Anolis sagrei: one gene and its partners. The protein of the gene in region 1 interacts with the protein of each later gene in a biochemical or structural test. Links are inferred from orthologs where the notes say so. Each region holds a gene or a part of one and is shown in the gene's direction. Other genes may lie near its edges.

Region 1 (7,986 bases):
ACATCTTCTGTAGCAATGGCAAACCTCTTCTGAACAAATCTTGTCAAGATAGGTTGCTTTAGTGCCACCAGAAATCAGAAACAACTTAAAAGGCATACAACAAGAAATTGTTTATTGTTGATATGGATCAACACAGTATTCTGTATAGAAATTGTGGCCATAATGTGTGGTGGAGGGAATATTCAGAAAATACTGGGGGAAATAGGTTATTCAAGTGATGAAAGTGAGCACATGATGACTAATTTTTTATTGTTGTACCTTGGATTTATTGTAAGACATGACTCTAGAGAACACATAAACACTGGCCAACACATATTTTGGGTGTCAAATGTTAGACCTGTTTCTGGGTATATTTGACCTGATGATTTCAAAAATCGCATCAGCTTTCCCCTATCAACTCTATTTTTTGGGACACAGAACACATGCCATATTCCAGACAGGAAATCATGATAACCATATGTGATGACCTTATCATACAGGCCCATAGATTCATCCTCCATCAGGGGGAATCCATGGGCTGGCTCCAGTTGGGGGGTCTGGAGAAGCCACCGCTCCACACCCTGGATTGCTTTCCTTACCTTTTCCCTCATCCCATTGTTGGAGGGGGGAGCATCACTGCCCGACTTCCCCCCATTAAAGGAAAGGCAATACAGGACTTCCTTGTTGCCGCAGTGGTAGCCAATGTTGCTTCCTCTACCTTTTTGGCATGGAGCCCAGCCGGAAGTCTCTTTACATCTTGTGAAAGGCTCTGTACCATAAAGGGAGGTCAAGCCACCAACGACAGGCAAATCAATCCGTCTGATGAAGTTGTAAGAAACTTGAGCTGATGCAGTCTATCCAATGCAAAGGTGTGAATCAGCGCTCCAAATAACCCCAGGAACAGGCCTAAAACCCAAGACACCAGGGTTTGGGGGGGGGGGGGTTGGGGGGATGTGCAATGTTTGGGAATCCAACAGGCAGTGAGAAAAGAAAAGTGAAAGATTGCATTCCATTCAAGAAAGCCATGGCATCCAGTCTGCAAGATCTAGATGACTATCTGGTTTGGAGGGTTCCCAGATCTATTTGACGAAAGTTGGTAATATCAAGCCCCACTGGATATGGATGTGATACTCACTTGTTTCTTGTCTTTGCTGCTTAAGTCTCTTGGGTAGCACTGTTCAAAAAGACCCCTGTCTGACTACACAAGCAGAGAGAAAGACAGGCCAGGCTGACAAACTCCTCCACTTGCTGTTGCATTGACAAGTTAATCGGAGTGGTCAGCAGAAAAGGTGACAGATGGAGCTGTGAGTTGGAGCGGCCTGCTATGCACCCTCTAAGCTAGTCCTGTTGCACTCAGTAGAGGATAATGTCACATCTCCTATGCTGAAATAAGATTACTACATACCAACTGTTCAGATATGACAGGGACAATCCCTTTGTGATATTTTCCAACTCTTTATGATTCTATGACATACAATGATATGGTAAAATGGTGTCCCTCGTATAAAATGGCAAAGGTTTGCTTTTCTTAATTTTTTATTGAAATATTTTCAAGCTATGAATCATGGAATCCGTGGATGCAAAATCCATAAATACCAAGGGCCAGCTGTACTAAAGGGGGGCCCTTGTGTGAGAAGGTCCTAAATCCATGTTGGAAGCACTTACCTATGTCCTCCTAATATAGAGATACGGCGAGTGGATCTTTCGAGGTCTGACGTCACCATTATAGAATGCTGTCCCACATTAGGCTCACCTGGCCCCAATATTTACACCAAACATATAAAAGAATATTTTATAAAACATTGGGAGAAGGAGTAAGGAGTGTTGAGAGATCAAGATACAGGCAGTTCCCAAGTTATGAACAAGATAAGTTCGGTAGGTTTGTTTTCAAGTTGAATTCATTTGTAAGTCGGAACAGGTACATGTTTAAGTATAACTCCAGACAAAAATATTTATATTTTAGCTTTGGATAGCATAGGGAAGGGTTAACACCCCTGTGCCCCTGTTCAGAAGACTTCACCTCACTTTTTGCCCCTGTGTGACAACTGGATTTTGAAAAATATGGCTTGTCATGGAAACAAGGATTGGTGACATGGCTTCAGTGCAGACACCTTTTCCACATAACTCTTTTAAGAGTGAATTTCCCTTCCAAGGAGCGGGTTTCTCTCATTTCCTGTAGTCTCGCTCCCATTCTTAACTAGGAGTTGCTTAATAGTTGAATGTTTGTAACTCGAAGAATGTCTGTGTAAGCCTTACTTTTAAATTCACATTCTGTTTATTGTGTTTTAATTTCTGTTCCATATATTTTAATATGTGTATTTTATAGAAATATGTTATAATGCATGCTTTTTATGGAATGCATTTTAGTATTATTATGTATTTAATATGTTGTGCCCCACCTCTAGACATAACGAGATGGGACATATATATATACATACAACATACATACATAATATTATTGAGATATAAAATTTGTCATCATCATCGATATATATAGTGCCATCATACCGGATAACCCCAAATTTGTCACTCTCTCAGTTCAAGATCCCTCACAAGGTGGCTCTGAGGATGATGAGAGTTATACACAGCCGGAAATCCCCTGTGGATACCAAAATCTTTGAAGGTTCAAATCTCATAACATACAATAGCATAAAAGGGAAAGAGAAAGGTTTCCTCTGACATTAAGTCTAGTCGTGTCCGACACTGGAGATTGGTACTCATCTCCATTTCTAAGCTAGAGCTGGCGTTGCCCATAGAGGCCTCCAAGGTCATGTGGCCTGCATGGAGCACCGTTACCTTCCCATAGAAATGGTATCTATTGATCTACTCACACTTGCATGTTTTTGAACTGCTAGGTTGGCAGAAGCTGGGGCTAACAGTGGGACTCACCCCGCTCCCCAGATTCGAAACGTCTACCTTTTGGTCAGCAAGTTCAGCAGCTCAGTGGTTTAATCCCCTGCGCCACCAGGGGTCCCATACATATTAATATTATTGAGATATAAAATGTATCATCATCATCAATGTATAGTGCCATCATACCAGATAACCCTGAATTTGGCTGTCGTCTTAGTTCAAAAATTATAGGCTGCGTCTGCACTCATGAACTAACACAGTTTGACACTGCTTGAAGTGCCATGGCTCAATGCTAGAGGAATGTGGGAGTTGCAGTTTCGCAAGGCGACAAAAAAAGCCAGTGGGATTTTGGCCTCCATCAATAGTCTAGAGTCTAGATCTAGGGAAGTCATGCTACCACTCTATTCTGCCTTGGTTAGACCACACCTGGAATATTGTGTCCAATTCTGGGCACCACAATCCAAGAGAGATATTGACAAGCTGGAATGTGTCCAGAGGGGGGCAACTAAAATGATCAAGGGTCTGGAGAACAAGCCCTATGAAGAGCAGCTTAAGGAGCTGGCCATGTTTAGCCTGCAGAATCGAAGGCTGAGAGGAGACATGATAGCCATGTTTAAGTATGTGAGAGGAAGTCATAGGGAGGAGGGAGCAAGCCTGTTTTCTGCTGCCCTGGAGATTAGGATGCGGAACAATGGCTTCAAACTACAGGAAAGGAGATCCCATTTGAACATTAGGAAGAACTTTCAGACTGTGAGAGCCGTTCAGCAGTGGAACTCTCTGCCCCGGAGTGTGGTGGAGGCTCCTTCTTTGGAAGCTTTTAAACAGAGGCTGGATGGCCATCTGTCGGGGGTGCTTTGAATGCAATTTTCTTGCTTCTTGGAGGAGGGTTGGACTGGATGGCCCACGAAGTCTCTTCCAATTATAGGATTCTAAGGCTTCTCTGCCATGAGAGCTGTTGCCTCTGCAAATGACCAATCCCAGGATTCCATTGCACTGAGCTAGGCAGCTAGAGAGGAACCAATCCGCATTAATTGTACAGTGCAGACGCATCCTGCCTGGCAAGTTCTGGTAATACAATATTTTCTTCTGGCTCTGCCGGTGATCGCGTTGTGCTCGATTGTATATGAATGTCAAGTTTTAGCCTGGCTGTTGGTTGGTTGCCTTGAATCCTTTCTTCAGAAAATAGAGGTGAATATTAGTTCAATACACCAACAGCCATGAGAAGCTTTGACTGAGATGCCAGTGAGGGAGGGCCATGTTTCTCGTTTCTGGGTTGTTGTATTTTTTTTCGGGCTATATGGCCATGGTCTAGAGGCATTCTCTCCTGACGTTTTGCCTGCATCTATGGCAAGCATCCTCAGAGCTAGCGAGGTCTGTTGGAACTAGGAAAAAGGGTTTATATATCTGTGGAATGACCAGGGTGGGACAAAGGACTCTTGTCTGCTGGAGCTAGGTGTGAATGTTTCAACTGACCACCTTGATTAGCATACAATGGGCTGACTGTGCCTGGAGCAAACTTTTATTGAGAGGTTCTCGTTCCTTTCCTGAAATGGAGGCCCTTCCATGAGGAAATGGGAGGGATATGTTGTCCTACATATCGAGGAGAGTCCAGCCTTATATGGCAAACATTTCCTCTGCCTCTGAGGAAGTTTCTTCCTCTCAGAAAAGCCACCTGAGGCGCTTTCGGCCCTTGAGCCACGCATGCGCAGTCAACTCCTTCACCTGAAACTCTCTCCCTGATTCACTCCCTCCATTCCCCCCTCCCTTTCTTTGGCTGTTACAGCAATCGCCGCTCCTCCCCACTCGGTTTCCCTCCCTGTCCTACATTCCAACACCGACCCCCTTCGGGGAAAAAAAGGAAAAAAGCAGACGTTTGGGAGTGGAGGAGGAAAGGGTAAAGAACCATTTCAGAGAAGTCAGCGGGGAAAGTAAAGCACGGGGCGGGCTGGCACTAAACTTCGACAGCGGGGTGGGGCGGGCGCTGCTGGGAAGAGCCTCCGGGAGGGCGGCGCTGGGGAAGAGCAGCTGGAGCGGGCGGAGGGCGGTGCCGGGAAGAGCGGGGGGTTGGGAAAGAGAGCGGGGGGAGGTGCCCGGAAGAGCGCGGCTTCCTCGGCTTCTTTGGCCGGACAGGGCGCGGCGGGGCGGAAGACGGAACAGCCGCAGAAGCCAGGCGCGAGACGGGAGAGCGAGAGCAGAGGGGGGAGGACGAGCAACAGGAACAGCAGGTAACTTTCCCCTTCAGGAGGCGAACTTTTCCCATTTCGGGCCTGGTTTCCTCCACCGTCAAACTTTGGGAGCGTCGCTGCTGGGACTCAGAGGGAGAGAAGGAGAGAGGAGAGGCCTCTTGCCTGCTTAGTATTATTATCCCCCTCAAAGGGAAGGAGGCCAAAGGGGCGCGACGTTTGAGGCCTCTCCGCCGTCCTCTGGGCGGAGGCCTCATTCCAGGGATTTGAGCGCAAGGGGGGGGAGGGGAAGAGGGAGGAAGGGCCCAGCCTCACTTCCGCCAAGAGTTAGTTCTGGTTGTTGGAAGCTTCTCCATAGCCTCCCTCCATTCTTTCCTCCTTGACAGAACTCTCACTCCAACTTCTCTTTCTTTGGGAAGGCCTCCCTCTCCAAAGGGGGAACAATGCTGACTCCTCCTCACGTTGAAAACAAACTTTCAGCTGGGCGTGGGCCTTCATTGTGTGCGCTGGCGCACCAAGTTGGCCCAAGAGTGTGTAAACTTCAATGGAAAGGGGAAAATGCTATTATTATTACTAGCTGTCCCCTGCCACGCGTTGCTGTGGCCCAGTCTGTTGATCTGGAAAATAAAGTAATGAGAAAGTGTTGGTTTCTAATATATGTAATTTATTTCTGCTTGATAATCAGTATTTCTTGCTGTTTCTTTGTCAGTGTTGATGTGGAGATTGTCTGATTTTCCTACTCTGGACCATGCAACATATCACTGTCCTTCTTTAAGGGTCCCTTTCAAATCTATGATATTGTGTGTGAGAATCATATCTATCTATCTATCTATATTTATGGCTGGATGGCTCTTTGTCAGGATTACGTTTTCTTGCCCTGATGAAGGGAGTTGGATTGGATGGCCTTAAGTATTTACTATTGGTCATGGGGCTTCTGTGTGGGAAGTTTCCTCCAATTCTGTCGTTGGTGGGGTTCAGAATGCTCTTTGATTGTAAGGGAACTATAAATCCCAGTAACTACAACTTCCAAATGTCAAGGTCTCTTTCCCTCAAACTCCATCTGAGTTCATATTTGGGCATATGGAATATTCGTGCCAAGTTTGGTCCAGATCCATCATTGTTTGAGTCCACAGTGCTCTCAGGGTGTAGGTGGACTACAAGTCCCAAACTCAAAAACCCCCCAAAAGAATCAATGAATGAAATGTCAATGGCCACCAAATCTTTCTGGTGTTTTGTGCTGGTCATGGGAGTCCTGTGTGCCACATTTGGTTCAATTCCATCATTGGTGGAGTGCAGAATGCTCTTTGATTGTAAGTAAACTATAAATTCCAGCAACTACAACTCCCAAATGACAAAATCATAATTTTTGAGTGATGGTCACTCCTTGTGTTGTGAGACATTTTGTTGCCAAATTTGGTGTGATTTCGTTCATTGGTTATTTTGTTTTTAAGGAACTCATTATGCACAGAGCATTTATATATATATATATATATATATATAGATTATTATTACTAGCTGTCCCCTGCCACGCATTGCTGTGGCCTACATGGGGGTTCTGTGTGGGAGGTTTGGCCCAATTCTATCATTGGTGGGGTTCAGAATGCTCTGTGATTGTAGGTGAACTATCATCATCATCATCATCATTTAATTACTTATTAATCGCCCTCCATCCAAGATGCTCTAGGCGATTTACAAACTAAAATTGTAAAGGATAAAAATACATACATACAGATATTGATAAAATTAACATAGATCAAAAGCTCTAGTAAAAAGCCAAGTCTTAAGTGCTAGGGTAAAAGGCCCTAACTCACGAATGGCTCTCATATAGGGCGGCAAGGAATTCCACAAGGCAGGGGCAGAAATAGAAAAAGCTCTGCGTCTGGTCCTTTCCAGGTGCACTTCTCTAGGACCCGGTATATAAAGTAAGTCACGTTGGGATGGTCGTTGCGACCTCCGACGATGGGAGAATGAGAGATGGTCCCTAAGGTACGATGGACCCTGGCCATAAAGAATTTTAAAGGTCAGAACTAACATCTTATACAGGGCACGGTACTCAGTTGGAAGCCAATGTAAATGTTGCAGCACTGGTGTTATATGGCATTTCATGGGCGTTCTTGTGAGTAACCTGGCTGCCGCATTATGAACAATACGGAACTATCAATCCCTGCAACTCCCAAATGTCAAGTCTATTATCACCAAACTTCACCAGTATTTACATTTAGGCATACTGAGTATTCATGCCAAGTTTGGTCCATATCCATCATTGTTTGAGCCCACAGTGTCCTCTGGATGTAGGTGAACTACTATTCCAAAACCAAAGGACACTGCCCACCAAACCCTTCCAGTATTTTCTGTTGGTCATGGGAGAACTGTGTGCCACGTTTGGTTCAATTCCATCGTTGGTGGGGTTCAGAATGCTCTTTGATTGTAGGTGAACTATAAATCCCAGCAACTACAACTCCCAAATGACAAAATCAATTTTTTTAAATAAAGGACATACATTGGGTTCTTAGGTGTCTTGTGTCCAAATTTGGTGTCAATTCGCCCAGTGGTTTTTGAGTTCTGTTAATCCCACAAACAAACATTACATTTTTATTTATATAGATTTACTAGCCATCCCATGCCATGCATTGCTGTGGCCCAGTCTGTGTATATGTGGTTTTGTGCATGCGTTGTAATGCATTTTTTGGCCTTTTAAGTTGCTTCCACTGTGTTTTTATGAGTGATGGTCACTTGTTGGCCTGATAGGTGTATTGTGTCCAAATTTGGTGTCAATCGTCCAGTGGTTTTCGAGTTATGTTAATCCCACAAACGAACATTACATTTTTATTTATTTGGGTTATTTGAAAAAGTCAGTTTTTTTTTAAAAAAAATGTACAAACTACAAGAAAGGAGATTCCATCTGAACATTAGGAAGAATTTCCTGACTGTGAGAACTATTCAGCAGTGGAACTCTCTGCCTTGGAGTGTG
Region 2 (7,881 bases), on another chromosome or scaffold:
ACAGTAGCGAGCACATGGCATTTTGCTGCCTGAAACAAAGGTACAAGGTACATGATACCCCAAACTAGGGAAGCTACTCTGGCATCTGAAGCGGAACATTTGACAATTCACTCTATGAAAAAAATCACGAAAATAAATTCAGGGATTAACAGGTTGTTGCCCTCCTGTGGCATTAAAAATATGATGCTTAAACCAGCTGGCTAGTTCAGCCAAATGCAAGGTCTGGCCCTGGAAGCGAGGACTGATGTGGGCATGAGCCAGACATGCATGTTCTACATGTAATGAGGTGGAGAGAGCCCTAGAGCCATGGGTCTCTTGGCATAAAAAAAACCCCCTTGAAATATCTGGAGGAAGGCAATGGCAAAACACCTCCATGTATTCCTTACATAAGCAAACCCTGTGAAATTAATTGGGTCACAATAAACCCAAAGGTAATTTGAAGACACTTAATTCACTGTAGAGCTGATTCACAAGGCTTGCATCATTAGGTGAACAATAACAGGGAGATGATACACTGAAAGGTAGTGTGCTGTACTGGTTTTATCCCATTTGGGGGTCTAGCTGAGTTGCTTGGGGTCCAACAGAGACCATTTTACAACCAAGATGTAAACTGAAAACAGCCTTGAAAACATGCATCTCCTGAGCTTTGGTTGGTAGAGAAATGTGGTAGAATAAATCTCAGCAACATATTTGGGGGAGCTGAAGATCTCAAATTTGCCTTAGGGACAAATGTGACTTATGGGTTACAATTTTCCCACCCTGCAGAATATATAATCTGCTGTATATAAGTTGATTTATACATCAACACATTTGAAGGACAAGAGGTTGGGAAAAGTTAGGACATGAAAAATGGGGAGACAGTTAAAACCCTCCTGATGCACTTACGCTATTCTCTTGACCTGAACCTAATTTGTCTCGCAGTATTTTGAAGGTAAATGGAAGATAAGAGAATAATTTCTGCTTCCCTGTGTTCATTTTATCAACAATGAAATAACGTTGCAATACTGAAAAAAGGAACTCACTTGTAGTTCTTTTTTAATTTTGCCAGTTAGACAGGCGACTAGATTGTGTACAAGAATCATGCTTCAAGTCATAATGAGAGTCTGTGGGGCATATGAAACCTATGGAAACACCCTACTGGTTGGCAAACCCATGGGCTGAATACGGGCACAAGAAAAGTTTTGAACAATATATCTGGGGTTGAAGGAAAGGAACATTGTTGCATATTCTCTCTCTTCTTTCTTAATGATGTTGTGAATAATCCAGTGTGACAAATGTTGTCCAATGTCTTGAGCAGATCACAAAGATTAAAAGAAACCTGCAAATTCTTCACAAGATTAACAGAAAATATGAGTAAATTCCAGAACTAATTGCTTTTGTTTTTGTCATGCACTTCCCTGTCAGCATTTCTCCCCTTCTTATTACCAGCTGATTTTCACCCATTTTGAACACTTTAATTGTACAATATGGGTTTGGGAGTAATTTAGTCTACAACAGGGAAAAGTATTTGTTAATAAATACAAAATATATAGAACACTGATTCTACTACATGGGCCTCTTTGGCATTAAGGATAGCTATAGATGAGGTTCTACAGATGTTTCTGGACTTCATGTCCCCCAATTTCTCATTATTAACTATGCTGTTTATTGCTCGTGAGAATTATGGCCAAACATACTTGGGGAACACAGCTACCCATCTCTGATGTAATTTTTTTCATGCCAGGAGTTACTTGAGAAACTGCAAGTTGCTTCTGATGTGTGAGAAATGGCCATCTGCAAGGACGTTGCCCATGGGACGCCCGGATGTTTTACCATCCTTGTGGGAGGATTCTCTTCTGTCCCTCCATGAGGAGCCAGAGCTGACAGAGGGAGCTCAACCCATTCTCCCTTGATTTGAACTGCTGACCTGCCAGTTATCAGTCCTGCCGGCACAAGGATTTAGCCCATTGCGACACCGGGGGCTCCTCTGTTATAAATAAAAGGTAGAGAAAATGCGGCCCACAAACCCATATCAACTCCCCATCTACCATAGGAAGTGTTACTGAATTAAAATAATAGATCCACAGAATGTTAGGTGCATCTATACTGTAGAATGAATGCAATTTGGTAATACCTTAATAATTATGGCTCAATGTGATGGAATCATGGGAGTTGTAGTTGTACAAGGTCTTTAGTCTTTGCTGCCAAAGAGTAGTAGTGCCTCACCAGAATACAACAGCAGTGAACCATAGCAGTTAAAGTGGTGTCAAACTGCATTCATTCTACAGTGTATATGCATTCAAATAGTTTGAGGGGACCTTATTGGTGCTTGATGTGGAGGGTGTAATGTTTTCCACTCACTACAAGGCTGACTTTAGGCAAAACATCATACAGTACCTCTTGATTAACCCAAGTCATAATGCCTACCATATTGTTTGGTACATGTGGTGCAAAAACATATCTCCCTGCCTCCAACAGAAGATATACATTAATAATTACATATTTTGAGGGCTGTTGTGATATCTTAAATCTGTTTCCTGAGCTGGCATATTCACTTTGCCTAATTGTAGAGCTGACCCTGAGCTTACAGCAAAGCAAATAAATAATATTGTTAGTCCACAAAACGTCTTTATATGTGCTGGTTCTTTTTGTGAGTGGAATAACCAGATATTTTCTTGCCTATTATTGTCCCCTGGTGGTGCAGCAGATTAAACTGCTGAGCTGCTGAACCCGCTGTGTTGACAAATTTTGTTGAGGATGTAGCTGCAACGAAAGGCCAGGAGAGAAATAGGTTTGAGGGGCAGAAAGTAGATAATAGGTCAGGAATTGAGGCTTTTAGAGGAAGGGGGGAGGACGGATCAGACAAACTTTGTCTTGCACAACATAGAAAATAAGTTCACAACTGAGTCTGTTGAACAAACTTTGGACACTCCACACCATTGTCAACATCTGCTGAGGACTAATAACTTGGCTGGGGAAATTTCAGACTCATTATGGAACGGAGGCAAATGGACATCAAAGAGAGCGGTCCAGATCTCTCTATCCCAAATTCTATCTGTAAGCCGGTCAGAAGTGAAAATCAAAACCATTGACTGGCTTTATCCTGGGACCATTCTACATGTCTTCTCATCTCATTGGAAGACAGACTGCTAGCGGAGGAGCTGTTCTCACTTGATAAAACACTGGGCATCATTTTTAGAAAGGTGTTTGTAGATCTATTGATCCGCTCTCTGGTCACCGGGCTTAGGTCACACCCTCTACCTCTGACTTGACCATGGTGGTCCATGCCTTAGTTGCCTCTAGACTGGATTACTGCAATGCACTCTATGTGGGGCTACCCTTGAAGACAGCCCAGAAATTACAACTTGTCCAATGCTTGGCAGCCAAATTAATAACTGGGGCAACTTACAGGGAGTGGTCAACCCACCTGTTTAAGGAGCTTCATTGGCTGCCATTCATTTTCTGGTCTCAATTCAAGGTGCAGGTTCTTACCTATAAAGCCCTAAACGGTTTGGGACCCACCTACCATCGTGACCGTATCTCTCTCCATGAACCAGATCAAGCTCTTCAATCTTCGGGGGATGCCCTCCTTTCACCCTTGCCAGTTTCTTAGGCTTACCTTGAGGGTACAAGGAGAAGAGCCTTCTCCTCTGTGGCTCCCTGACTCTGGAACTCACTGCCCGGTGAGCTTAGGAAAGCCCCTACCTTAGAAACCTTTAAAAAGAATCTCAAGACCTGGCTGTGCCGCTGCGCTTTTGGAGAGTAGCCACACAAGCTTTAGCTATTGCCCCCCTCAACATTTTGACCTAAGAGTACCCCCCCCCCTTGTACAAAGGTATGTTTATTACACTGTGTCTCTATGAGTTCCCCTATGCAAATAATCTGCCCCTTTTATCTCACCCTGAGTTTTTAAACCATTTTTACTGTCATTATGTTGTTTATTGCTTTATGTTTTGTGTATATTGGTTATTGTATTTATATGCTTTGTACTTTATTGTTTTATTGTAATTTGTTGCTTGGGCTTGGCCTCATGTGAGCCGCTCCGAGTCCCCGTTTGGGGAGATGGTGGCAGGATACAAATACAGATTATTATTATTATTATTATTATTGTCAGTTCAAATCTGGGGAGTGGGGTGAGCTCCCTCTGTTAGTCCCAGCTTCTGTCATTCTAGCAGTTCAAAAACATCCAAATGTGAATAGATCAATAGGTACCACTTCTGTGGGAAGGTAACAGCACTCCACGTAGTCATGCTAGCCGCACGACCTTGGAGGTGCCTATGGACAATGCCAGATAGAGATGAGCACCACCTCCCAGTTGGACACAACTAGACTTAATGTTAAAGGAAACAGTTACCTTTTATTATGGCCAAGCAAGAGAGTATCTATTCGTATTTACAAGGTCCACTACAAATGAATGAAATTGTTTCTCTCAATTATGTCCAGATCAATGTAGGTCTCAGTTTTCCTGTCCCTGCAAAGTTTGTGTTTTTCTTTTTTACGTATTGCTTCCTTTTGTTCTCCCTTTATTATTGATTTTTATGATATGATCAGTGCGGCTCCCAAAAATTGAGAAAATAGGATGTTTTGCATTCTGCACTATATAAAGTTTAGCGAACAAATCTTTAGCAGCCCTTTACTTGATTTGAGAGACGAGTCACCTGCTACTCCATTAGTACTTGGAAGATTATAAGCCTTGGAGATTTAGCAAAGGATTAGTAAATTGGAGAGTGTACATTATCAGGCGGGCTTAGACCTTGATTGTCTCTTGACTCATTTTCATTAGTGCTTTATTCAAAGATCGCTGGAATTATGTAACCATGACGTTTCAGGGGAATCTGTCAGGAATCTGTTTGGGGTTTTTTTTATAACTCTTTTCCCAAAAGTTATTTTTATAACTCCCAGCTTGCAATGTGTGTTACACATTTTGAAAAACAGCACTGTAGTTCAGTCAGGTTGCTGGGGCCAGATGCTTTCCAATGCTGCATCCAGAAGCAGGTGGTAGCTTTTTTCAGCGGTGCATTGAAAGAGGCAGGATGAAGTACAAGAAGTACATCACCATTCTTGAAGCTGCAATTGGGATCACCCCTCTCAATAAGAGGGAATTGTTACCTGTGGTTCGACATGCAAATCTTTGGCAGCATCCAGGGTAAGTCACACATTGGGTAAATGAATAATTGTAAAAACAAATATTGACTCTGTGAAACCGTGTGCAAGGGAGCTGTGGGCATTGCCTGCAAATGGGAGAAATGGTTAATTGGGAAGCTGCAGGAACTGCACGTAGTTTTCTTGCTGGTGTGTATTTGTGGTGTTCTTGGCTGGCAAATGGGTGGCTGGGATAAATGGGAGGAATTGTCAGTAATAGCTTTTAAGCCTCTGTGTAAACTTTTTAAAAACAAGGAACTTAGTAGATAAGCCCATGCAGACTTGGAGCAAGGGCAGATCAAGTAGGAATGTAACGGATTGCTCCTTGATTACTTTTTTCTGATGCTCGCACATTTAATGATGGGGCTAGAATCTGGAAAGATGCTCACATTGCTGAATAAAAGTAATTTGAATTGGCTTAGGGTCCTCCCACCCCTTACAAAAAGCCTATTATATTTTTTGCATTACACACATACACAGCAAAAATGCTTCAATGCTCCATTAATGTCTTTACAGCCAGTGTCTCCTTCCCTTCCAGTTTCTGTGATGGAGGTGGGAATACAATGCACATATGTTACACATCGGCAGTCTAGAATCATGTTATTAGGAATGAATGGGAAGTCTGACTGCCATTGAAAAATATTTATGATCACTGAGCAGACGCAGAATGATGCAAATTGTTTAGATCCAACTCAGCAATAGCTGCTGTGGCCTGAGAGCCAGCTTGACCAAAAAGCTTACTTTCTTCATTACAGTATCTTTTCTAAGAAATGCTGCATTTCTGTGTGCTTCAGAATGGCAAGTCACTGTAGCATAAATTAAACAATACAGATACTTGCCTAGTTTCCAACAGACCTCACAACTTCTGAGGATGCCTGCCATAGATAAGGGCAAAAGGTCAGGAGAGAATGCTTCTGGAACATGGCCATATATCCCAGAAAACTCACAGAAACCAAATAAAGATATATATGTACTCATTAAAGCAAATCTTGATGGCCTAGATGATTAAAGGCATGGATTTTTAAAAAGCAATTTACTGCAGAACAAGGATATACTCAAAACTGAAGCAAGGTGTTGTTTCTCTTCTGCGATGCTCAGTTAAAATGAACCCAGGTTGTCTGTATAAGTGTGATGTGAGCTTTTATCTTTATACATTTGAATTCCTATAATCCATCTTGCTTCTTGAGCCTGGGGCAAAGTGGGGTATAAATAAAATAATGATGAATAATAATTTACAGTACTTCTATTGCTTGCATGTACCTATAGCATGTGTTTTTGTTCATGTTCCTTTAGGTCTCATGTCCCCGGAGCCACAAATTTAACAGAGCTTTAGGGGTAATATCTTATCTGGAGAATTATGAGCTGGAAAGCCTATCTCTAAGCATGGATATGTAGTGCTTTGTATCATAGCCCATTATATTAAGTGTCTAAAGTGCTAGGCACTGTACAAATAAAATCAGTTTATTTGAAGGTGGGGGTGGACTGCAAGTTTTCCTCCCATAGTTTGGGATCCCCAAATCACAGTCCGCTCCCCTTTTCTGATTCAGTTGTTAACTGCAGCTTCACCATAGACACTCATGCTGCGGAAGTGTATAATTAGAAAACCTTATCTTTTTTAGTTGCAATTCAAAGCAGTGTGGATTAAGCTCTGGATAGCTTTTGCTGCAGCAATAGCATATACTAGCAGATTGTAGAAAACAAATCTGAAGTGGTCCATATGGCTCACCATCACAGCAGTTGCACTGCAGATACTACGGTACATTAATCTGTGTTTGATTTCTCCGCCAATTGATAAAGTTTTTTGTATTTTCCCAAGAGATTTAAACCCTTAACATTTTCCCAAAGCAACATTTATTTGTCAGCTTAAAAAATATCCAAATATAACTGGTACCATACTGCACAGCATAAATTCTTAATGCTAATGCTAATTCTAACAACAACAACAACAACAACGACTTATTTGTATTCCGCCCTATGTCCCCAAGGGCACTCAGGGTGGATTCCAGCATACACAAACACAAAGGCAAACATTCAATGCATAGAAACATGACAAAGAAACACAGATAAAGGTAAAGGCTTCCCCTCCCAGCTCTGGGGGGGGGGGGGGGGGTGAGTGATGCTCATCTTCATTTCTAAGCCTAGGAGGCATTGTCCATAGATACCTCCTAGGTCATGTGGCTGGCATGACTGCATGGAGCACTGTTTACCTTCCTGCGGAGGTGGTACCTATTGATCTACTCACATTTGCACGTTTTCTAAGTGCTAGGCTAGAAGAAACTGGGTCTAACAATGGGAGGTCGCCCCATCCTGAGGATTCGAACCGCAACCTTCCAGTCAGTAAGTTCAGCAGCTCGGCAGTTTAACCTGTTGCTCCACCGCAGCCTCAATGCTGAAATCATTTTGTAGAATATTAGAAAATATTGACATAGAGATTTCAGTATTTTTGTTGTAAATGTCAAGTAAACAACACTTCATTCATTGTTAGGGAAGAGCAAAGTAAAGTTAATGGAAATAATTTATTGTGTTGTCAGACTCAACTAAAAAAAATGTGATACAAATTCTTAAGCAACAGTTATAATGGTTTAGATGTTTAAAAAATCTGGCTTTATATATATTTTTGTCCATCCATAGGATGGTAGTAATGTTAGAATCAGGCAGGATTTTTGGGAGCAGCAGCTCAGTCTTGGTTTATGTAACTTACATGGTAGGGAATCCAGTGGATAACTTACTCTCCTTTGGATATTGTCTCCAGATTTGGGG
Region 3 (7,319 bases), on another chromosome or scaffold:
AGAACCAGATCCTATGTAATATAGCATGAACCCAATCTCAATTCCAAAAGTGGTCTAGAAGGATCCTGTGATCATTAGCAACAGATCCTGCTGAGAGGTCTGGCAAGAAGCACCAACACAGCATCATTCTTCTCACCTAGAGTTTTAGCTGTCACGTATCGCATTTTCAGTTCCAAAAACTGACCTGGGGTTGGGCTGTGGCCACACATTAAAACCCCTTTCCCAAAAAGAGAAATAGAAACTGGCTGATATTTATGCAAAAGAAACAAAGTATAATTTGGGGATGCAACAAAGGTAGAAGTATTTGACATTCATAAGAGAGACCAGCCAAGGAAACCCACTGGATGATTTGGAAAAGTCATGATCTCTCAGCTTCAGATGAGGGCAAAGTGAAACCCTGAATACATGAAAAGCTGAATAAATCTTGCCATGGAAACCTGTGATAAGACCGCTTTAGGGTTGTCATAAATTGGAAATGACTTGAAGGCATACAACAAATGAGAGATGGAAAAGTAGATTGGGGTCATAGGAGAGTAAGAGGAAACTGGGAAAACAATGTAACTGGAGGGTTTTAGGCATAGATTGTAGGAAGGTAATATCTGAGGGGCACGGGACTGGTAATTGTTGTGGGTTTGTTATGTTAATTTGATAGTTTAATGTTCTCTCTTTCCTTCTCTGTTAGAAAAGTTCCTCTTAGAAGCAAGGTAGAATATAAGATTTTAAAAGAAATAAACCAATAAACAAAATAAATTAAAAAACAGGGAGACGCAAGAAAGAGATATGGAGGGCAAGATTCATCTTGAAAGTGTGGCATTGTAAGAAACAAAAAGGTTTTTAAAGAACTGGGGAATAAAGCATTGAGAGCAATACATGAAGGAAGAAAAGAGTGAAGAGAAATAATTATTGCAATAAATTGGAGGAACAGGTCAGAGGTCATCTTTCAAAGACAAAGCCGCAATCTATATGACTCTGACTATTCTGCTAGGGACCTAATATTGTCACTTGCAAATGCCAGGGATTCTAGCCACAGCCTTCAGTGTGATATATTCCAATTTTATTGCCAGTATTTCTTGTTCCATTTTATATTGGACAGACTGGAATAAATGGACACAAGCAGACATCAGAAACAATTATATATAATTCAAAATAATATTCACAACTCAGTGGGAGAAAACCTCAGAGTCCCATTACATTTGCCACTGTTATCAAGGTGGCTATCATTAAACAAAAGAACTTCAAAGAACTTCAAAGTACAAAAAGACCCCTCAAAGGGAGATTCCAAAAGAACAAGTATTCATCATGAGGTTCACCTCTATCACCTCTCATTTGATTAGAGACTCAGGCTTTTTATCTCCCTGCATGTGTTAATCTGCTCATCAAAGAAATGGTTTCTGTGTTACCACTTAAATACTGTTTGTTAATGGCAACTTTTAAGGTAATAATGATAACTGCTCATAATATATTTAAAATCCGTAATGCTAACTGCTGTTTGTTAATGGCTATTTTTCATCCCTATTATTTGCTAATGTACTTCTGCTTTTTAATTCCTTCCTATCCCACTGGTTACATCCCCTGTCCACCCGCTCGGTTGCCCACCTCAACATATATTTAATAATCTACCCACTGAGCCATTAATTCACTCATCTGATGAAGTGGGAGGCATGAAAACTTATGGCACATAAAATGTTTTCAAGCGCCATGAGACTTTTGTGGCTAAAAAGGGAGCGTGAAGGGGACATTTCATTTAGAAGCAGGAAGTTTGTGAAGTTGGGCTGAGAATTTTGATCACATGGGAATTTGGGGGGCTGTTTTAATGCCAGAAGGCTGCCCTTGACAAATGTATCCTTCTGGAATACAACACCCAGAACCCCCACCCAGCATACTTTGTTGAAAAAGTGGGGTATATCCTAAAGCAATGGTTCTCAACCTTATTTTGACCAGGGACCACTTTGACCAGAGACTATCCTCCAACATTAGTACCAAAAAGGTTACGAAATGGTTTTTTGGTCAACTTTAGATTCAGTTTGCTTATTTGGGGTGCTGATTCAAAAAACTGCATTGGATAGACCACATCAGCTCTGGTTTCTGATACAGAACATATGCCATCCAGTAGTCACCATCTGCTCACCCACAGAAAACCATATTTAATAATCTCTAGAGCTGATGTGGTAGTAGTAATATTTTGTGGATGGTCAGCCTTTCCCCTCCCAACATCCCCGTTGCCTCAGCACTATAAGATGGTTCTGCAAGACCAGTCACTCTTGTTGCTGAGTGGTTTCGAGGCAACGGAGTAGTAATGGTGAGGCCACGGACCATATTTTCATGCTTGCAGACCAGGGCCTCTCCAGATGATCTGACAAATCGTGTGGGCTCATATATGGAGATGCGGTCACGCAGGTAGGCGGGTCCCAAACTGTTTAGGGCTTTGTAGGTAAGCACCTGCACCTTGAATTGGGACTGGAAAATGAATGGCAGCCAATGGAGCTCCTTAAACAAGAGGGTTGACCTCTTTCTGTAAGGAGCACCAGTTAACCACCTGGCCGCCGCCCGTTGTACCAGTTGGAATTTCTGAGCCGTTTTCAAGGGCAGCCCCACATAGAGCGCATTGCAGTAGTTCAATCTGGAGGTGACCAAGGCATGGACCACCCTGGCCAGATCAGCCTTCATGAGGTCGCAGTTGGCGCATGAGTCTCAGTTGTGCAAAAGCCCTCCCGGCCACCGCCGACTCCTGAGCTTCAAGCGTAAGTGATGAATCCAAGAGGACACCCAAACTGCGGACCTGTGACTTCAGGGGGAGTGTAACCCTGTCCAGCACAGGTTGCCACCCTATACCCCGATCCAGTTTACGATCAACCCAGGCCCGTAGCCAGGATTTTGATCCGGGGGGGGGGGGGGGGCTGAGTTTGTTTTTTTGGGGGGGGCTGAGTCTGAGTGAAAGAGGGTCTACCCTAGCAAACCTTTTGTATTGTTACCCCAATACCCCCATGCATATGGGATATATTGAGCACGGTGATCAGATCATGATATGAATAAACATAACAGTTTAAATAATGCACCAGTAAGGCCTTTTCGCGAACCACCATGAGAATTTCAGGGGGGGGGGGCTGAAGCCCCTCAAGCCCCCCCCCCCCCCCCCCGGCTACATGCCTGACTCGACCAGGAGGACCTCTGTCTTGTCGGGATTGATCTTCAGCTTGTTCATCCTCATCCAGACAGCCACAGCAGCCAGGCACTCGTCCAGCACCCGAGGGGCTTCCTTGGAGTTAGGTGGAAAAGAGTAGTAGAGTTGTGCGTCATCTGCATAGAGCTGGCACCCAACTCCAAAACTCCGGATGACCTCTCCCAGTGGTTTCATGTAGATGTTAAAAAGCCATCTGTCAGGGGTGATTTGAATGCAATATTCCTGCTTCTTGGCAGGGGGTTGGACTGGATGGCCCATGAGGTCTCTTTCCAACTCTATGTTTCTATGATTCTTCTGCAGGCTAAACATGCCCAGCTCTTTAAGCTGCTCCTCATAGGGCTTGTTCTCCAGACCCTTGATCATTTTAGTCGCCCTCCTCTGGACACATTCCAGCTTGTCAATATCTCTCTTCAATTGTGGTGCCCAGAATTGGACACAGTATTCCAGGTGTGCTCTAATCAAGGCAGAACAGAGGGCTTTTAAACAGAGGCTGGATGGCCATCTGTCAGGGGTGATTTGAATGCAATATTCCTGCTTCTTGGCAGGGGGTTGGGCTGGATGGCCCACGAGGTCTCTTCCAACTCTTTGATTCTATGATTCTATAGGCCAAAATCCTATTGGCTTGTTTTTACAAGAAGCAATATGTGTGTTTGTGTCTACACATAAATATCACACAAACACACCAATATATACTGTTGTAATGATGTTATTCAATAAAAAATATCGTTTTAATATTTCAAAAATCGAAATGACTTCTTGCCTCAAACCTTCCCCTCACCATGCGCTTCTTCTTCTCCTCTCACCTCAAACCTCCTTCAAAACACTCCCGCCTCGCCCGACGGGGACGAAACCACGCCCCTTTTCGGCCTTGGCTCCGCCCACACCTGCCGGGCATTCCACTTTCCCAACCGTTCTTTCCAGGCTCCACCTCCTCCTGCACCCTCGTCCAATCAGAAGACCCGGGCTGTAAACACCCCAGCCGGGGCGAGGCGAAGTTGGGTGGGGGCGGTCTCGCGCGCCCCCTCCCCTCGCGGCCGAGGCAGCCAATCAGAGCTCCGAGGGGCGTGGCTTGTGTCCATGGGGACCGGGGCTGGGCTCGGCTCAGTCAGGGAAGGTCTCGGCTCGCCCCCATTGTTCGCGCGGAGCCAGTCGGAGCGGAGCCAGAGGCGAGCAGGGCGGTGGCGACGGGGCCGGCAGGTGGGTGCCAAGCGGGGGGCTTGGAAGGGGGGCAGCCCTCACGAAGGAGGGGGTCGTGAGGCTTTCCGAGGGGGGTTTCCTGTGGAGAAGGCAGCCCCTGAAGGAGGGGAACCCATTCCCTGTTTCCGGAAGTGGCCAGGACTGTCCCAGAGACAACAACAAGTAACACCTGGGGACCGGAAAGTGCTGCTCAAGGCATTCAGGGTCATAACCCCAAACTCTTCTCTTTTCTCTGCCTCAGCCTATAGGATGTGGAGACCCTATACAATAGGAACAAGAGCTCCTGGGGTCGAATTGGGCGTGGTGGGAGAAGGAAAGGAAGGAACAGAACCCTCAGTAGGAGTGGGTTAATGTTAGGGAAATGTCCAAAATAGTATTTTAAATACAAGACAGGATACTAAACTGAGTAGTCGACTCACAGCAAGCAGGAGGTGTAGTGTTGTGACTGTGAAACAGGCATGGGCAAACTTCGGCCCTCCAGGTGTTTTGGATTTCAACTCTCACAATTCCTAACAGCCGGTAGGCTGTTAGGAATTGTGGGAGTTGAAATCCAAAACACCTGGAGGGCCGAAGTTTGCCCGCCGGCTGTTATGAATTGTGGGAGTTGAAATCCAAAACACCTGGAGGGCCGAAGTTTGCCCATGCCTGCTGTAAAATATTTACTGAACCAAAGATGCAGACTTTCAATTCTTACAGTTTCAAAAAGTTTATTTAAAATATATTATTTATCTAAAACATTTATATTTCGCCCTTCTCACCCCAAAGGGGACTCAGGGCGGAGCACAGCATATATATATATATAAGGTGAACATTCAATGCCTAGACAAGGATTCATATACACATACATAAACATTAAAAAACATTTATCATAATATTAAAATTCACCATTTTAAACCGTCTTGGTCATCTGCGTCAAATCTAATCCACCTGGTAATTTTTCCTATTGCTACTTTATTGTCCTTTTTCGAACGCTTGGTCCCACAGCCAAGTTTTTACCATCTTTTTTTTTCAATATTTTTTTATTAAGTTATTATACATATGCCTAAAAGAGAAAGGTTTACAAGGAAAGTGGGAGAACATTTAGATATAGGATAGTAGGAAATTTTTAGAATCCGTATATATAAAAAAAAATATCAAAAAAATAGAGAAATAATAATACTACAAAATAAAAAGGTTTTGTTGACTTCCATTCTGTGTCTTCGCTTACAAATTTTTCAGTTTAAGTTTTCTCTTCATATGTTGTTAAGATCTTTCCTTTAGATGGTTTTCAAATAGTGACCAATTTGTATCCTTTATTGGTTTTCCCATGTTTTTCTTCAAAAAATAGGTTGATTTGTCTATGTCCTTAATCTCCTGTAGTTTGACTATCCAGTCTTCTGCCTCCGGAGTTTTGCCGATTTTCCAAATTCTTGCATAAGATATCCTTGCTGCCGTTGAGATATAAGTAAATAAAATATCAATATTTAAGTCTGAAGAGAATTCTGAGTCCATAATATATTTAATAAGTAATATTCTGATTTACTTGGGAATTGTATTCCCAGTATTTTTTTTTGTGTCTCTTGGTTAATATTTTTCCAGTAATTTTGAGCTTTCTTACACAACCACCACATATGAAAAAAGCTGCCCTCTGCCTCGTGACATTTCCAACATTTCTTGTCCATATTTTTATACATTGATCCTAATTTTTTGGGTGTAATGTACCATTGATGGAACATCTTAAGCCAATTTTCTTTTAAGTCCATTGCATAGTTCAACAGTGGAACTCTCTGCCTCAGGGTATGGTGGAAGCTACTTTCTTGGAAATTTTTAAACAGAGCCCAGATGACCATCTATCAGGGATACTGATTGTGCTTTTCCTGCATGGCAGGGGGTTGGGCTAGATGGTCTATGTGGTCTCTTCCAACTCTATTACTCTGTGATTTCTTGATAGAAAATATTGGGCCTAATTTTCTCTCTTCCATTCTTCTTTATTTTTATTTATTAAAATAAGCATAAAATGTAATTTTTTGTTGCATACAGTGATAATATTGAGACATCTATTATATTTTCAAGCTGCTAAGTGTTCGTTAGCATTTCTAACACATTATCTATAATTAAGGACTCTCTGGCATCTGTTTGAGTAGGACAGGTAAGAGAGTCAGAGATTCTAAGTTAATATCAGTTTTCTCTTTGCTTGCAGCCTTATAGGATCCTCTGTGGATATTTCTACAACCAGCTTAGCTTTATTTTATTGTTGAGTTGCTGGATTGCCAGCTCCCATTCTTTAATGACTTACACTATATAAATCCTTTTGGTTTCTAGACCATTGCTACATCAAACTATATTTTCACATCTGAAAACCTATTGTTTTTAGTTATCACGCAACTGTTTGTGTAGAAAAGGTTCGGTCTAAGCTTCTCTCTAACCCTATTACTTCTAAGATTCAAACAAAATGGAAAAAATTCTAAATACTACATTTTCTCAATCATGCAGAGTAGAGAGGGTTCTGAACGAAAGGGTGAAAAAGAAGTGTGACCCGAGGCCTTAAAATGAGAGGACATGCATCCTAAAGAACTGCCATTCTATTTCATCAATTAGAATGGGGGAGAGAGAAAGCGAGCGAGAGAAAAACAGATGCATCAACAGCCTAGCCTAAGTTATCTAGTTGCTTCTCATTGAGGACTGCAGACTTGAGCAGTGTGTGGTTGAATTCCAACAGCTAAAGAGTAGACAACCTTACAATACGTCTGGAGGAAGTGAGGGGGCATTTCTTCTGGGAGAGAATTTTGACATCCCTCGTTGGGTTAAAGAGCTAATAGCTCCTTGCCCTTTAATCAAAGGTCTCAAGTCTTTGCAGTTTGGGGGTTTCCCTTGTCAGGGTAAATTACAATGATGAACAGAAGGGCTTGCATTCAAGGTGGGTCTGAAGAAGGATGTAGGGAGGGGTAAGGGTTTATTAAGA

The links.
Region 2: the proteins of CTNNA1 (region 1) and TJP2 form a complex in vitro, tested with the Homo sapiens proteins (2 studies listed by BioGRID and IntAct, with this or other methods). The link is inferred for Anolis sagrei from reciprocal best matches to the Homo sapiens genes CTNNA1 and TJP2.
Region 3: the proteins of CTNNA1 (region 1) and JUP form a complex in vitro, tested with the Homo sapiens proteins (2 studies listed by BioGRID). The link is inferred for Anolis sagrei from reciprocal best matches to the Homo sapiens genes CTNNA1 and JUP.

The regions. Positions count from the first base shown.
Region 1 is NC_090021.1:140,799,017-140,807,002, reverse strand, and holds the start of CTNNA1 (catenin alpha-1), read left to right. Parts: upstream 1-4,903; 5' UTR 4,904-5,057; intron 5,058-7,986. UniProt on the Homo sapiens protein: Associates with the cytoplasmic domain of a variety of cadherins. The association of catenins to cadherins produces a complex which is linked to the actin filament network, and which seems to be of primary importance for cadherins cell-adhesion properties.
Region 2 is NC_090022.1:221,774,769-221,782,649, forward strand, and holds the start of TJP2 (tight junction protein ZO-2), read left to right. Parts: upstream 1-4,876; 5' UTR 4,877-4,955; coding exon 4,956-5,125; intron 5,126-7,881. UniProt on the Homo sapiens protein: Plays a role in tight junctions and adherens junctions. Acts as a positive regulator of RANKL-induced osteoclast differentiation, potentially via mediating downstream transcriptional activity.
Region 3 is NC_090026.1:38,502,020-38,509,338, reverse strand, and holds the start of JUP (junction plakoglobin), read left to right. Parts: upstream 1-4,261; 5' UTR 4,262-4,378; intron 4,379-7,319. UniProt on the Homo sapiens protein: Common junctional plaque protein. The membrane-associated plaques are architectural elements in an important strategic position to influence the arrangement and function of both the cytoskeleton and the cells within the tissue.